2 linked regions of the Xenopus tropicalis genome follow. The protein of the gene in region 1 interacts with the protein of each later gene in a pairwise test. Links are inferred from orthologs where the notes say so. Each region holds a gene or a part of one and is shown on either strand. Other genes may lie near its edges. The genes, in order: mcmbp and prtfdc1.

What was found.
Region 2: the proteins of mcmbp (region 1) and prtfdc1 interact in binary tests that used the Homo sapiens proteins (3 or more experiments, as listed by UniProt). The two-hybrid records come from large-scale screens. The link is inferred for Xenopus tropicalis from reciprocal best matches to the Homo sapiens genes MCMBP and PRTFDC1.

What each region holds. Positions count from the first base shown.
Region 1 is NC_030683.2:6,244,710-6,248,541, forward strand, and holds part of mcmbp (mini-chromosome maintenance complex-binding protein), read left to right. Parts: coding exon 1-70; intron 71-511; coding exon of another isoform or gene 512-565; coding exon 566-706; intron 707-783; coding exon 784-825; intron 826-1,125; coding exon 1,126-1,227; intron 1,228-2,906; coding exon 2,907-3,006; intron 3,007-3,114; coding exon 3,115-3,266; intron 3,267-3,832. UniProt on the Homo sapiens protein: Associated component of the MCM complex that acts as a regulator of DNA replication.
Region 2 is NC_030682.2:25,731,162-25,734,993, reverse strand, and holds part of prtfdc1 (phosphoribosyltransferase domain-containing protein 1), read right to left. Parts: intron 3,510-3,832; coding exon 3,403-3,509; intron 1,637-3,402; coding exon 1,453-1,636; intron 1-1,452. UniProt on the Homo sapiens protein: Has low, barely detectable phosphoribosyltransferase activity (in vitro). Binds GMP, IMP and alpha-D-5-phosphoribosyl 1-pyrophosphate (PRPP). Is not expected to contribute to purine metabolism or GMP salvage.

The sequences.
Region 1 (3,832 bases):
TGGCGACTGGCAGAAGAACGTTACCGACTACTTCAGTGCCAAGCTACGGGACAGTGACTCTGCCGCTGCCGTAAGTGCTCTTCCTTTAGCAACACCGGCCCCTTGCCCACCATTACATGTTGCCCCCCTGAGCCACTGGTTGGGGGTCACTGATGTAGAGAGTAATATTCCACTTTTTGTTCAGCAACTCTCCATGTTTGGAATTTCATCTAGTTGCTAGGGCCCAAATTACCTTAGCGACCAGGCATTGGCTTGAATGAGACACTGATATAGGATAGAACCTAAACAAAGAAAATGAATAACAATAAAACTGGAGCCTCACAGAGCAATAGTTTGTGGCTGCCGGGGTCAGTGACCCCCATTTGGTAGAGTTAGAAGGAGGCAAATCATTTAAAAACTATATTAAAAAAAGACCAATTAAAAAGTTGCTTAGCATTGGCCATTCTCGGACATATTACAAGTGAACCACCCCTTTGAGAAGGGTAAATCATGATACCCCTGTGCCCAGCAGGATTGTTGGAAACCAATTGCCCCTATTCACCCCTGTTTCCATTGGCCGCCCAAGGTGCCGTGCCTCAATGACACCCCCCTGCATTACCTGAAGCCCAACAGCCTGGTCCGGTTCCGCTGCATGGTGCAGGACATGTTCGACCCGGAGTTCTACATGGGGGTCTATGAAACGGTCGATACCAACACCAGCGCCAGAGTAAGTACCCCACTGCCTGGCACAGCTTTGCCATCTCGCCTACTGCCATTGGTTCTAAGAACTGTCACTCATTGCAGGTTCTGCATTTCGGCAAATACAGGGATGTGGCAGAAAGCCTGGTGAGTCTCCTTCTTTTTCCCTTTGTGCAAACGTACCTACCTGAGGGGTACTTCCCCTTTAATCCACTTTAAGTTTAATCCTATATGGGGGGTGTGTATGTGGGAGGAGCTGGGGGGGGGTGTATGTGGGAGGAGCTGGGGGTGTGTATGTGGGAGGAGCTGGGGGTGTGTATGTGGGGGGGTGTGTATGTGGGAGGAGCTGGGGGTGTGTGTATGTGGGAGGAGCTGGGGGGGTGTGTATGTGGGAGGAGCTGGGGGTGTGAGGGTCTAATTCTGCAGCACTGCTCATTCTCTCTGCAGCCGCAGCAGGAAGTGGATCCGGACTCCCGTCGCAATGTAACCTGCGAGAGACAGACCTTCTACTGTGTGCCCGTGCCAGGGGAGTGCCCGTGGGTGAAGGATATATCCTTTTCTCTTTTTCTATGTGTAATATACAGTTTGGCGATTTCCCTATGGGACCAAAACTGTAAATTATATTATAAATGGTGCTTAGTGATGTCATTAGATATAATCTGGAGCTTAGTGATGTCATTTCTGTGACACGATTCATTAAAACTTGTGTATTCTAATAAAGTACCCCCTGTTGTAAAATATGAAGATATTAGAAGTCGCCGAGGAGTTCCATGACCTTTGCCTTCGGCCTCATCCCTTTATATGGCCATGGAACTCCTCTGACTTATAATATCCCTATATGTTACAATAGGGGGTACTTTATTCACTATATATTATAAGGAACCCCTCGGGGGCTTATAATATCCCTATATGTTACAATAGGGGGCACTTTATTCACTATATATTATAAGGAACTCCTCTGACTTATAATATCCCTATATGTTACAATAGGGGGCACTTTATTCACTATATATTATAAGGAACTCCTCTGACTTATAATATCCCTATGTTACAATAGGGGGTACTTTATTCACTATATATTATAAGGAACTCCTCGGGGGCTTATAATATCCCTATATGTTACAATAGGGGGCACTTTATTCACTATATATTATAAGGAACTCCTCGGGGGCTTATAATATCCCTATATGTTACAATAGGGGGTACTTTATTCACTATATATTATAAGGAACTCCTCTGTGACTTATAATATCCCTATATGTTACAATAGGGGGCACTTTATTCACTATATATTATAAGGAACTCCTCTGTGACTTATAATATCCCTATATGTTACAATAGGGGGCACTTTATTCACTATATATTATAAGGAACTCCTCTGTGACTTATAATATCCCTATATGTTACAATAGGGGGCACTTTATTCACTATATATTATAAGGAACTCCTCTGTGACTTATAATATCCCTATATGTTACAATAGGGGGCACTTTATTCACTATATATTATAAGGAACTCCTCTGTGACTTATAATATCCCTATATGTTTACAATAGGGGGTACTTTATTCACTATATATTATAAGGAACTCCTCGGGGGCTTATAATATCCCTATATGTTACAATAGGGGGCACTTTATTCACTATATATTATAAGGAACCCCTCGGGGCTTATAATATCCCTATATATTACAATAGGGGGTACTTTATTCACTATATATTATAAGGAACCCCTCGGGCTTATAATATCCCTATATGTTACAATAGGGGGCACTTTATTCACTATATATTATAAGGAACTCCTCTGTGACTTATAATATCCCTATATGTTACAATAGGGGGCACTTTATTCACTATATATTATAAGGAACTCCTCTGTGACTTATAATATCCCTATATGTTACAATAGGGGGTACTTTATTCACTATATATTATAAGGAACTCCTCGGGGGCTTATAATATCCCTATATGTTACAATAGGGGGCACTTTATTCACTATATATTATAAGGAACCCCTCGGGGCTTATAATATCCCTATATATTACAATAGGGGGTACTTTATTCACTATATATTATAAGGAACCCCTCGGGGGCTTATAATATCCCTATATATTACAATAGGGGGTACTTTATTCACTATAATATATAGCCAACACACTGCCAGCCAATCGGCATACTTGGCCTGCCATGCTTCAGTTTGTGATTGGTTTACCCTTAACGTGGGATTCACGCCTACACCAGCTGCAGCCAGGCCAAGGTGTGCGCCTCCACCTCCTACGCCCCCAGCCGGCAGAAGAGGAGCTACGAGGAAGATGAGGATGCTGCTCCATGTAAGGAACTTCACTTTGTAGCACTGCTGTAATAGACACCCCCCCCCATTGGTTCATCACGTGGGCACATTTATTCCTCTCTCATCTCCCCCCCCTCCCCCCACACAGGTGACACTCGTGCTTCCCATGGATTGGGTGAACCAAAACGCCTGGAGACTGAAGCTGCGGGGGCTCAGCAACACCTGCCTTCCAGCTGCTCTTCTGCCCCGGACCTGAACTTCCCTCTCCCTGGTGAGAAAGGGCCCGCCTGCCTCATAAAGGTACCAGCCTTGCACCCCCTCCTGGGCATAGCGGGGCGCTTGCACCCCCTCTTGGGCATAGCAGGGCGCTTGCACCCCCTCTTGGGCACCACCAACCAACGTGGGGCACAGGGAGCCATAGAGTACCATGCACATTCTTGCCCTGTGCGCTTCTCTCCTCCCCTCTAGTTCTGTGTTCTACTGCCACCTTGTGGCCAGGCAGGAGATAGATAATTGCGCTGCTGGCTATAGAAATGCAGCAGCTGCTGTTTTTGCTGCAGCAGATTATCCATTCATGTGTCCAGTCCGAACTGATTTGCTGGGCCCAGTGGCAAAAACCCAAGCCGGTGGCGCTATACTGTGGCACTGATTTGCCTTCTAGCAACAGGTAACAAATGGTACTGCAAGTGGCAGAGCTGCTAATACTCAATGAAATGATACTTGGCCAGCCAAGCTCCCAGCTCTGTATGATACATGGAGAGAGCTCAGGAGTCACATCTCTTGTCTCTGGGCTGTATTGTAATTTCTGCCATTTCCCCCCCCCCCCCCCAGGGGCACGTGGGATTGGGGCTGTTACGGTGCCCGAG
Region 2 (3,832 bases), on another chromosome or scaffold:
TAGGATACACAACACTAGGACACGAGCGGGGGTGCCCATACAGACACGCTGGACAAGATGGCGGTGCCGTTCACTGAAACAAGTATGTAGGTACTAGTATGTGTATCTCTGTAAGTCTTTCATTAGGCAAGCTACAAATATAGTAGTACTATTTAATAGTGTGCTTAATAGATTTTGACTTTCCTTGTCCTTTAACGTAATTTGGATCTCCTACCTTAAGGCTTCTAAAAAAATTATTTAAACCTTCAGTAATTTGAAACTTTCTGGATAAGGGGTCCGATACCTGTAGCAATAATAATAAAATTGTAGCCTCACAAAGCAATATTTTTTGACTGGCCCTCATCCGAAAAGTGAAAAAAAAGCTTAGAATTGGCAATTCTATAATATACTAAAAGTGAGCCATACCAAAAGTGAGCCACCCCTTTAAAAATTAGTTCCTCTAAAAGAAATATTTAACCTGTTTAACCTGTTCCTGACTGAGTTCCCAGCATTTATTTTCTGCTCTGGCCTGTTGGACCACACAGGGAGTGCATGGTGGCACTGACCCATACTATGCATTATAAGCCTTCAGCTCCAAGCCTTGATATGGTCTGCCCTTGCTCGTACTGGTACCAGTATGAGGCAAGTTAGCAAATCCCTAAATAGTGCGTTCATATAGTCCCTTTACAGCAGTTCCCCCTATGCCACCATTATGATCTGATCATTGGCCTGGATGGCCAGATCAGGTAAATATCTGCTCTATTGGCAACCTCATCAAACGACTGGATCTTCCATGATTTGCTACATTTAAGTCTGGGCACAGATATTGGGGCTTATTAACACTGGGTCAATTTGCCCATGGGCAGTAACCCATGGCAACCAATCAGTGAATGGATTTTTCCAGTCAGCTACAAGTAGAACAATAAATGCAACAATTTGATTGGTTGCTACAAGTTACTGCCCACGGGAAGATTTGCCCAATGTTGATAAATGAACCGTATGTATTTTGTTCTGTCTCCTGACACAAGCTTCTGTATTTATTGTGCTCAAAAACTTCTAAACAAACCCATGTTAAAACTGGACAGAAAATGGAGGCACGCAGAGTGGTCTAGTGAAGGGCTGTCCAACTGGAGGCCTGTGGGCTGGATGTGGCCCTTGGAGGGTTTTTAGGGCACTCAGTCAGCTTGAAGGCTCCATAGACTTCACTGTATGACATCATAGCTTTAATTCAATCCGGCACTCAAACATGCTGTATGAGAAATAACATTTCTGGAAAGTGCTGGTCTAGTGCAATTATGACAATTAAAGCAAACAACGTATAGTGTAATATGGATTATGATTTCCTTATTGCTTTTGAAAATGGCTAGACACCTTAGGAAATAAAAGCCCTCTGGAGAGAGCCTTGCTTAGCTACCTGGGGGATCAACTATCCAGCAGCAGGGAAAAGCTGTCACAAAGAGAGGGCAAACTTACACAGTAGCATTTCAGCCTGATGAAGTCCACTCTCATGGATATAAATCTTTCCGAGTTGCGACTCAGGTTTTTAATGTGCTCGACAAGGTCCGTACAGAACCGGTACCCTCCCTTCAGCACACACAATACTGTAATGTGGTTATCTCCAATGTCTCTCATGATATCATTAGCAATGCGCTCCGTCCTGCAAAACAGGTAAGCATTTTCATAAGACTCCCAATCCAATAGAAACCCAGAGGGGATCCAGTCATTATCAGCTGTTACATTAAGAGATTATTACTGGAAACGGTACATTGAATACTGGAAGCAGCAATAATGACCCATTATAAGAATAAGATAAAAGCACATTCCACTTACGAGTTCATGCAGGACAGAGCTCCAATGAGAGTCCCAAGAGAACACAAACAGAATGATTTTAATCATTAAACTGTAATACCGACAATAATACTGAAGAAATTAATTGGGCAGTCAGGACTCGTAGGGGTTTTTTTTCGGCAGAAAAGTATAGAAACTATTAATTATTTTTCATCACAGAAATATAAAGAGATATCTAATGTGGAACGGCTGGGGGGCACACAGGCGCGCTCCACAAATACAAGAAGCATGTATGGGTGTACAGGTGTCTTTTATGAATGTGGTTAATATGTACACAATTTTCCACCCAATGTAGCATGCTGCAGTTATGTTACTAAATGATGTTTTGGGTGCAACAACTTAGTTGTGGCATTTAAAAGCTGCAGATTACTTTCCAAACCTGGTTCACAATTACAAGGGATACTTAAGGCATTTTATTTTACTGTCAACTGGAAGATAATGATGATCCATGTCATTTATACATAGTCTAAGGGGCTGATTTACTAATCCACGAAACTGAATCCCGAATGGGAAAAAAATCGGATTGGAAACGAACATTTTGCGACTTTTTCGTAGCCGTTACGACTTGCGCAAATTGTCGTGACTTTTGCATAGCCATTATGATTTTCGTGAATTGTCGCGACTTTTGCATAGCCATTATGACTTTCGTGAATTGTCGCGACTTTTGCATAGCCATTATGACTTTCGTGAATTGTCGCAACTTTTGCATAGCCATTATGACTTTCGTGAATTGTTGCGACTTTTGCATAGCTATTATGACTTTCGTGAATTGTCGCGACTTTTGCATAGCCATTATGACTTTCGTGAATTGTCGCGACTTTTGCATAGCCATTACGACTTTCGCGAATTGTCGCGACTTTTTCATATTGAGCGCTCGAAAAAATCGCAAAATACCGATCATTACGAAAAAAACGCATTTGGACGCTTTTCGGACGTTCGTGGATTAGTACATGTGCCCCTAAATGTCAGTTGAGTTTCCACGTGTGGGATAAGCCTAAACGTGGCTATAAATGGACAGAGTTAGGCTGCTGATTCGGCCCCTTCAGATCGATTTTGCAGATAATCTGCCTCTCTATGGATACCTCTACCCGACCAATATCTGGCCAAAAAATCACAGCTGCATGTTGGCATTCATTCAAACTGCCTGCATAGAGACGGTCAAACCATTGGATCAGCCCCGTATTGCACACCAAAATGATATTCACGTGTATGGCCGGCTCTAGTCTTTTAATGTCAAATACAGTTGTTGCTAAGCCACTGGAACAGTGGCACAGGACCTCTTACTAAATGTGTGTTTGACCCTAGATATTCTGGGAACTAAGACTGACTGGCTGATGCACCAGTTGTCCAATATCTGTAAGCTTGTTAGGAACTAAGGGGGCCTGCTGACCAAATGCTGGTCCTCCATAGGTTCTTGAGCCGGACAACCAATGGTTCAAAATATATATATAAGAAAACATATCGCTCTTAAGGAAAGTAATATATATCTATATATGTGAAAAGAGGTATTAGGTTACATCTAAAAAGGGAACCCATATATACCACGGACACCCAACATTACGCAAGGAGCAATACCTGTCTACTATTACTCCATGAGGAATAAATACACATTCTAAATCTTCGCAGTAGTGATTGGGCAGTGAAAATACATCCAAGTCATATCCAGTCCAGTTATCTGGAATCTACAGAAAAAAAAGAAAAGCATATTACTATTATGAAAGTGTGTCCCTCATAGAAAAAGCAAGTAGTATGGCAGATAAATAATACACTTTAACTTGGACCTGGCTATAAGGCCAATGCGGGTGGCTGGATTCATCAATAAGTAAAGAGTAAAATAGAAACTACAGCTGTTCATGCCCTCTTAGGAAAGCTCAATGGGAAGTCCAACATCTCATACCATCTCAGGACAACACAAACTACATTTTTAGTGGAACTGCCCCTTCGTCAAGGTCCCCATTAAATTTTATACAGACAAATTTGAGAATAAAGTCATAGGGATGGGCTA